Macaca mulatta: one gene and its partner. The protein of the gene in region 2 binds, or shares a complex with, the protein of the main gene of each other region. Links are inferred from orthologs where the notes say so. Each region holds a gene or a part of one and is shown on either strand. Other genes may lie near its edges.

Region 1 (3,747 bases), on a different chromosome or scaffold from region 2:
CTCTTGCCTCAGCCTCCCGAGTAGCTGCGATTACAGGTGTGCGCCACCATGCCCGGCTAATTTTTGTATTTTTAGTAGAGAAGGGGTTTCACCGTATTGGCCAGGCTGGTCTCGAACTCCTGACCTCAAGTGATCCATCCGCCTCGGCCTCCCAAAGTGCTGGGATTACAGGCGTGAGCCACCGCACCCCGCCTACAAAGGTATTTTAAAATCCCCCTTACAATAACCCTCTCAGTTAGATAGGTACCAAGTTCCACCCTCTTCTAAACACGATGTCAATATCAAGGTAAGGTCTCAGAGGGTTTGGTTGTAAAAGGCTCCAGCCAAATTTAATAAATGGGAAGTGACTACCTTTATTTGTGAGAGAAGCTTTGGAGAATGTGGAGGAAGCAGATGTCAAATATAAGGGGCTTAAGACGAGAAGGAGAGGAGCCTCCAGCACAGTCCGCTTCACATCCTGTCGGTGCTCAAAACATACTTGAATGAATACCCGGTACAAAAGATAAAAATGATGGTTTGGTTTTCTATAAGACACCATAGTTTCTTTAAAATTACACAAACACATGCATTGCTTTTTTCCCTCTAATTAGTGAGACCATAGCGCAAAAGAACAAGCACAGCTGAGCGCTCAGTGGTGCGAAAATCAAAAGGTCGGGAAGAAACAAGAAACTCAGACAAACGCTTCCGCCGGCTGTGACAGGTTCTGAGGCGACCAGATCCACTGGACATAGCGCGGCTCAGATACCTCAGAGACCTGTCCACACAGTTGCTGAAGTTAGCAACAAACTATTGAGCGCTGTTGGGCACCATTTAGTCTGAGAAGCAAATGCGCCCAGCCAGTCGGCACGGACTTCAAAAACTAACCTTGTTTCTTGCAAGGTGCTGGCAGTTGTTCTGGCAGTCAGGGCGGGAACCAAACAGAAACCCACCCCGCCTCTGGAAGAGAAGGCGGATCCCTAACGCCAGCTATCTCCAAGAGCAACATTGCCGCAGCACTTCCGGGACGTCGTGCTGCGAAGGACGCAGCTATTATACGTCACTTCCACGGCGCGGCGTTAGGCAAGTTGACCTCTCTGTTGTAAATTAGTGGTTAAGGTTAGATATTATTGCCACTTTTCCAAAGCTAAAGGCTGTTTTGGAACCAGTGTCGCTGGTTCCGCGCGTGACTACCTTTTTTTTGCAAACCAGTTATTCCAGTTTCTGGTCTAAAAAACTCTGTGGCTGTACGGTAGCCGAGGAGGTTCCAGCGCGGCGGAAGTACCCAGTAGGTGGGTGTGCGCGTAAGGCCAGGGCCAGAGGGGCACGTGGCGCCGGTGAGTGACCGTAGAAGCCGGAGGATTTGAAAATGGTGGACGCGGAACCCAGCTGCCGGAGGGAGGGAGGAAGGAAGGGGATGCAGTGCGAAGACCTTGCTGTCTGAAGGGGGAGGAGGTACTAATCCTGGGGCGGCAAGGCTGGTATGTTTGGTCGGTCGGCGCTCAGGAGACCATGAGGAAGTAAACTCTTCACCCATCAGGTTGGTGGTCACTGGCTGTCTGACCGTGGGTGAGGTGACAGGGCTGCTTTTGTCCCCTTTATGGTGTTCTCACCGCGGCTCCGAGGGGTTGGAGTGTACTCAGATGCTACAGTGATCAGAAGACACGGGTCGTTTTTTTTTTTTTCACCAGGGAGGAGAGAGAATGTCTTTTCGAGGCGGAGGTCGTGGAGGCTTTAATCGAGGTGGTGGAGGTGGCGGCTTCAACCGAGGCGGCAGCAGCAACCACTTCCGAGGTGGAAGCGGCGGTGGAGGCGGCGGCAATTTCAGAGGCGGCGGCAGGGGAGGATTTGGACGAGGGGGTGGCCGCGGAGGCTTTAACAAAGGCCAAGACCAAGGACCTCCAGAACGTGTAGTGTGTATGCAGTCTTCAATATTTAGCCTATTTGAAGGAATAGGGGTGGGTTGTGGGTTTGTGTTATTAGTCCAGCAAGTTTGGGATACACAAGCCTGTGTGGAGAATGATGTAAACTGACATAATCGTACAGTAGCATGTAAGGGTGGGGTGGGGAGATCAAGAAAGCTGAGGGATACTTAAAATGCATCATGGAAGTGGAACTTCAGGGTTGACAGGAAGATATTAAATAGGTAATAGTGAGTACTTATCCCTAATTCCCCGATTTTACAGATGAGAAAACTATGATTTAGAGTTAAGTTTTTATAGCTGAAATATAAGTATAGCTGAAATACAGGCTGGGTGCCGTGGCTCACGCTTGTAATCCCAACACTTGGGAAGCTGAGACAGGAGGATCACTTGAATCCGGGAGTTAGACACCAGCCTGGACAATAAAGCAAGGACCCTGTCTGTACAGAAAAAGAAATACAAAGCCAAGTATTCTGACTCCAAAGCCCATGCTTTCCATTACTACTTAAAAGTAGATAAGTGAGAAAACAATTTGCTTGAGAGGGAAACTGCCAAAGAGGAAGTCGAGAAAAAGACCCATTTAGGATAGTTTTATAGTAATTAATAATGAGATGGGAATGGAAGTCACAGAGAGTGAAACTTACTACATTAAAGAGGAGAGAGGGTGAAGAGTGTCTAAGAATGGTTGGATGAGTATGCAGGATGGTTTGAAAGGAGCAGTTTCTAGAATAAAAGGTCCCAGCCTGCAAGCTGTTGTACCAGTCCATACACGAGGCATTGAGAGCCTGATTCAGGATGGTGAGGAAAAAAAGGAAGGGTTAGATAGGAGAGAGATTTCAAAGGAAACAAAATCGGTAGAACTTAGCTAATGCTGATAATAAAGGGTTCCAGGTTTTGCGCTTGGGTGATAGGAATGAAGAGTTGGTTTTGCAGGAATGTGTTAATTATTTTAGTTTAGGGGGACAGTCTAGTTAGTTAGAACTAAAGGTAGTTATTTTGAGATTCCAAATGTCCTTGAAAACAATGAATCATTGTTAAAGAGGTGGTAGTGGGAATAGGAAAGTTCTGAGGCAAGAGAAAAAAAAAAGAACAAAGGGTAATTCTTTTAGGGGTTGAAGAAAAGGGAGTGAAGAAAAGGAATAACCAAGAGAATGAAGCAGAGTTTTGAATCAGATAATAAATTTTAATAAGATAACTGTTACATGTGGAATGGTCTCAATGTGCCAGGCACTGTTTTAAGCACTTGAAATTGGTTATTCCATTGAGTCCTTACATTACTGTATATTAGGTATAGCTGTACATTATATGTTACTAGTGTCTACTAAAGAGGAAACACTGAATTAGAGAAAGGGTGGGTAACTTCTCCTAGGTTACATAGCTAGTGTGTTGTGGAGTTGGTATACCAGCCCAGGAAGTCCACACTCTTAATGACTGTGGTCTTCTGCCTCAGAGGAGAGCAGGTATGGTGAAGTCCCAGGTAGCCAGGAAGAAAGCTTCCAGAAGAAGTTGGTCAGTATCGTTTGAAATAGTTCTGTGTTTTAATATTTTCTTGTCCTATTTCAGTATTAGGAGAGTTCCTGCATCCCTGTGAAGATGACATAGTTTGTAAATGTACCACAGATGAAAATAAGGTGCCTTATTTCAATGCTCCTGTTTACTTAGAAAACAAAGAACAAATTGGAAAAGTGGATGAAATATTTGGACAACTTAGAGATTTTGTATCCTTTTTCATTGGAAGACCTAATAATATTCAAAGGTTGCTATTTGTATTTTTGTGAGGAGGCGGTTAAGTGTAAATTAGACTTGTTGCTTCATTAAATTAGACAGGATTGCTACAGATTGGACCATG
Region 2 (3,647 bases):
TACCTCTTGGGTTGCTGTGTGCATTTCCTGCCAAGTGTGTGTGGATCCTGTCGTTGCCTCCTGGTCACTGGGCATTTGCTTTTATTTCCCTTTGCTTAGTGTTACCCCCTGATCTTTTCATTGTCATTGTTTGCTTTTGTTTTTTGAGACAGAGTCTCACTCTGTCACCCAGGCTGGAGTGCAATGGCGCAACCTCGGCTCACTGCAACCTCTGCCTCCTGGGTTCAAGCAGTTCTCATTCCTCAACCTCATGAGTAGCTGGGATTACAGGTGCCCGCCACCACACCTGGCTAATTTTTGTATTTTTAGTAGAGATGAGGTTTCACCATGTTGGCCAGGCTTGTCTCAAACTCCTGACTCAAGTGATCTGCCTGCCTCGGCCTCCCACAGTGCTGGGATTACAGGCGTGAGCCACCGCGCCCGGCCTACCCTGATCTTTTAAAATGAAGTCTGAAACATTGCTACCCTTGTCCTGAGCAGTAAGAGCCTTAAGTATATTTTAACTCTGGTCACCACCCCCAGCCTATGTGCTATTTTCCCTGCTGACTTAGTTCTATCTTGGGTATCTTGACACACCCACAAGGTAACCATTATTAATATTGTTTTCCGTGTTCGGTGTTTCTTTAGCTTTGTCCCTGCCCTGCTTTTCCTCCTCTGTTCCCTGTCTGTCTTTTGTCTCAGGCCTGCCTTCTGGGGTCCCCTTCCTTGTCCTTTGCCTGGTTCTTCTGTCTTGTTATTGCTGGTAAACCCCAGCTTTACCTGCACTGTGGCCTCCATGGCTTCTAGTGACGTCCGGGGACCTCTGCTTATGCACAGATGAAGATGTGGAGACTCACGAGAAGGGCGGTCATCTTGGCCCGTGAGTGTCTGGAGCACCACGTGGCCGGCGTTCCTTAGCCAGTGGGTGACAGCAGCGTCCGCTCGGCCTGGGTTCAGCCTGGAAAACCCCAGGCACGTTGGGATCTGGGCTCCGTGGTGACGAGTTTGAAATCACACAAACCTACGGTCTGGTGCCAGCCCCGATGTGCTGCCTGGCGGGGAAGTGTCTGCCTCCTCCCTTCTGCTTAGGGACCAGGACAAAGGATGAGGCTCCGAGCCATTGTCATCCAACAGGAGCATGACATGAGCCACGTGGATCATTTTTAAATGTCTAGGCTGGGCGCGGTGGCTCACGCCTGTAATCCCAGCACTTTGGAAGGCCCAGGCGGATGGATCACAAGGTCAGGAGATCGAGACCAACCTGGCCAACATGGTGAAACCCCATCTCTACTAAAAACACAAAAATTAGCCGGGCATGGTGGTGGGTGCCTGTAATCCCAGCCACCTGGGAGGCTGAGGTAGGAGAATCGCTTGAACCAGGGAGTTGGAAGTTGCAGTGAGCTGACATTGCGCCACTGCACTCCAGCCTGGCAACAGAGGGAGACTGTCTCAAAAAAAAAAAAAAAATAGAGAAAAAGAAAAAAAAATTCTAGCAGCCACATTAAAAAAGTAAAAAAGAAAAGGTGAAATTAACGTAATAATAATTTTACTGAAGCCCAGCACGTCCACAGCTCATCATTTAGGGTGTCATTGGTGGGAGCGTCACTCACAGGACATGTGACATTTTTTGTGCTTGATCTGCGGGATCCCGTGTGTGGGTCCCGTGTGCGGCCATCTCAGCCTGGACCTGCTGGGCTCCCCGTGGCCATGGCTGTCGTACCAGATGGTGCAGGTCTGCGATGAGGTCGCCAGCCCTGCGGTGAGCTGGATGTGCGGTGTCCTTCTCGTTTCAGGGGTGGGCTGTGTGCCGGCCGCGGAGCACCGCCTGCGGGAGGAGATCCTGGCCAAGTTCCTGCACTGGCTGATGAGTGTGTATGTGGTCGAGCTGCTCAGGTCTTTTTTTTATGTCACGGAGACCACGTTTCAGAAGAACAGGCTCTTTTTCTACCGGAAGAGTGTCTGGAGCAAGTTGCAAAGCATTGGAATCAGGTAGTGTACCCCCACGCTGGTCCCCTGCTTCTCGAAGTCCTGCAGCACCAGCCCCGGCCTCAGCGTGCGCCTGTCGTCCCGGCGCCGGTGCTTCCCTGGCTGTGCGGCTCTGGGCTGGGAGCCAGGGCCCCCATCACAGGCCTGGCCCGAGTGGATTCTGTGCTGGGCTCTGATTGCCCGGAGCTCACTTTCTGTTACTTGTGAAATCAGGAGTTTATGCCAAGTGGTCTCTGGGGTCTGTAAAGCAGAAGCGGTTTATATTGGATGGAAACACTACCACCAGCCTCCTTGCCCCTCCTCGGGATGTGGATCCGATTCTCTCTTTCTCTTTTTTTTTTTTTTTTTGTTTTTTGAGATGGAGACTTGCTCTGTTGCCCAGGCTAGAGTGCAGTGCCATAATCTTCACTCACTGCAACTTCCACCTCCCGGGTTTAAGCGATTCTCCAGCCTCAGCCTCCTAAGTAGCTGGGATTACAGGCACCTGCCACCACGCCTGGCTAATTTTTGTATTTTTAATAGAGATGGGCTTTTGCCATGTTGGCCAGGCTGGTCTCGAACTCCTGACCTCAGGTGATCCACCCACCTTGGCCTCCCAGAATGCTTGGTTTATAGGCTGAGCCACTGTGCCTGGCCCCCGATTGTCTTTTAATTCATGCTGGTCTGCATGAATCTTTAATCTGCTGGATTTAGGTCACGAGAGGATAAAATCCCACCCTCTTGGTGACTCACTGTGGGGAGCACCTGTGTGGGGAGCACCCGGGGTAGGAGATGTCCATCATGAGCTAACTTCTAGGTGGCTGCGTTTGAATGGCTGCGAGATTTTGTCTGCAGTGTTCAGCTGATAAGAGTGTGAGGGATTGTGGCAGATTCAAGCTGGATTTGCGTCAGTGAGGGACTGGAGTGCTGGGCTGGGAGACATCAGCCTGGCTGAGCCCAGGCCATGATATTAGCTTCTCTGTGTCCCACCCAGGCTGACTGGAGGGCTCGGTGAGGACTCTTTAGTCACAAGGTCAGGGCTTCCCCGGCTCCTCTGCACACTCGAGTCCCTGGGGGGCTTCTCACACCCCATGCCCCAAATCAGGATGTCTGCAGAGGAAGCTGGCAGCAGACCTCATCAGAGGTAACACGGCCTCTGGGCTGGGGACCCCGACGTGGGGCTGGGGCCGTTTCCTCCTGTATCTGGGGGAGAGTCAGGGCTTTCCTTGTGGGAACGAGTTAATACACAATGTGCCCTACTTAGACATTGCACATAGTGAATGGTGTGTGACCCAACGTGGTCATTTGACCAGTGTTTTGGGAAGAATTTAATTGGGGTGACAGGAAGGAGCAGACAGACGTGGTGGTCCCCAAGTCGCTCCTTGTCACGGCTGGAGCTGATGTTCTGCCTGAGGGGCCTCGGAGGCCCCTCCTCCCTGGACAGGGTACTGTGCCTCTCCTGTGCTCGGCTGGGCCTGCGGCCTGGGGTCAGGGCACCAGCCCCGGAGCACCCTCGGGCCCAGCGACCATAGAGCACTAGGCCGTCATCCGCAGATGCCCAGGTCCAGGTGTGGCCACTCCAGCCCCCCACTCCCCCATGGGTGGTTTTGGGAGAAAACACCAAAGGGCAGAGGTGTCAGGGAGCTGGTGGGCTCACGGGAGCTGGTTCTGCTCCTTGGCTGAGCTGCCCTGAGCAGCCTCCC

The links. The genes of interacting proteins can lie anywhere in the genome.
Region 1: TERT (region 2) and GAR1 share a complex: the UniProt entries of both Homo sapiens proteins name them as parts of the telomerase holoenzyme complex. The link is inferred for Macaca mulatta from reciprocal best matches to the Homo sapiens genes TERT and GAR1.

The regions. Positions count from the first base shown.
Region 1 is NC_133410.1:119,117,608-119,121,354, forward strand, and holds the start of GAR1 (H/ACA ribonucleoprotein complex subunit 1), read left to right. Parts: upstream 1-1,038; 5' UTR 1,039-1,268; exon of another isoform or gene 1,269-1,313; intron 1,314-1,323; exon of another isoform or gene 1,324-1,516; intron 1,517-1,667; 5' UTR 1,668-1,679; coding exon 1,680-1,893; intron 1,894-3,461; coding exon 3,462-3,616; intron 3,617-3,747. UniProt on the Homo sapiens protein: Required for ribosome biogenesis and telomere maintenance. Part of the H/ACA small nucleolar ribonucleoprotein (H/ACA snoRNP) complex, which catalyzes pseudouridylation of rRNA.
Region 2 is NC_133411.1:2,405,924-2,409,570, reverse strand, and holds part of TERT (telomerase reverse transcriptase), read left to right. Parts: intron 1-1,772; coding exon 1,773-1,968; intron 1,969-3,647. UniProt on the Homo sapiens protein: Telomerase is a ribonucleoprotein enzyme essential for the replication of chromosome termini in most eukaryotes. Active in progenitor and cancer cells. Inactive, or very low activity, in normal somatic cells.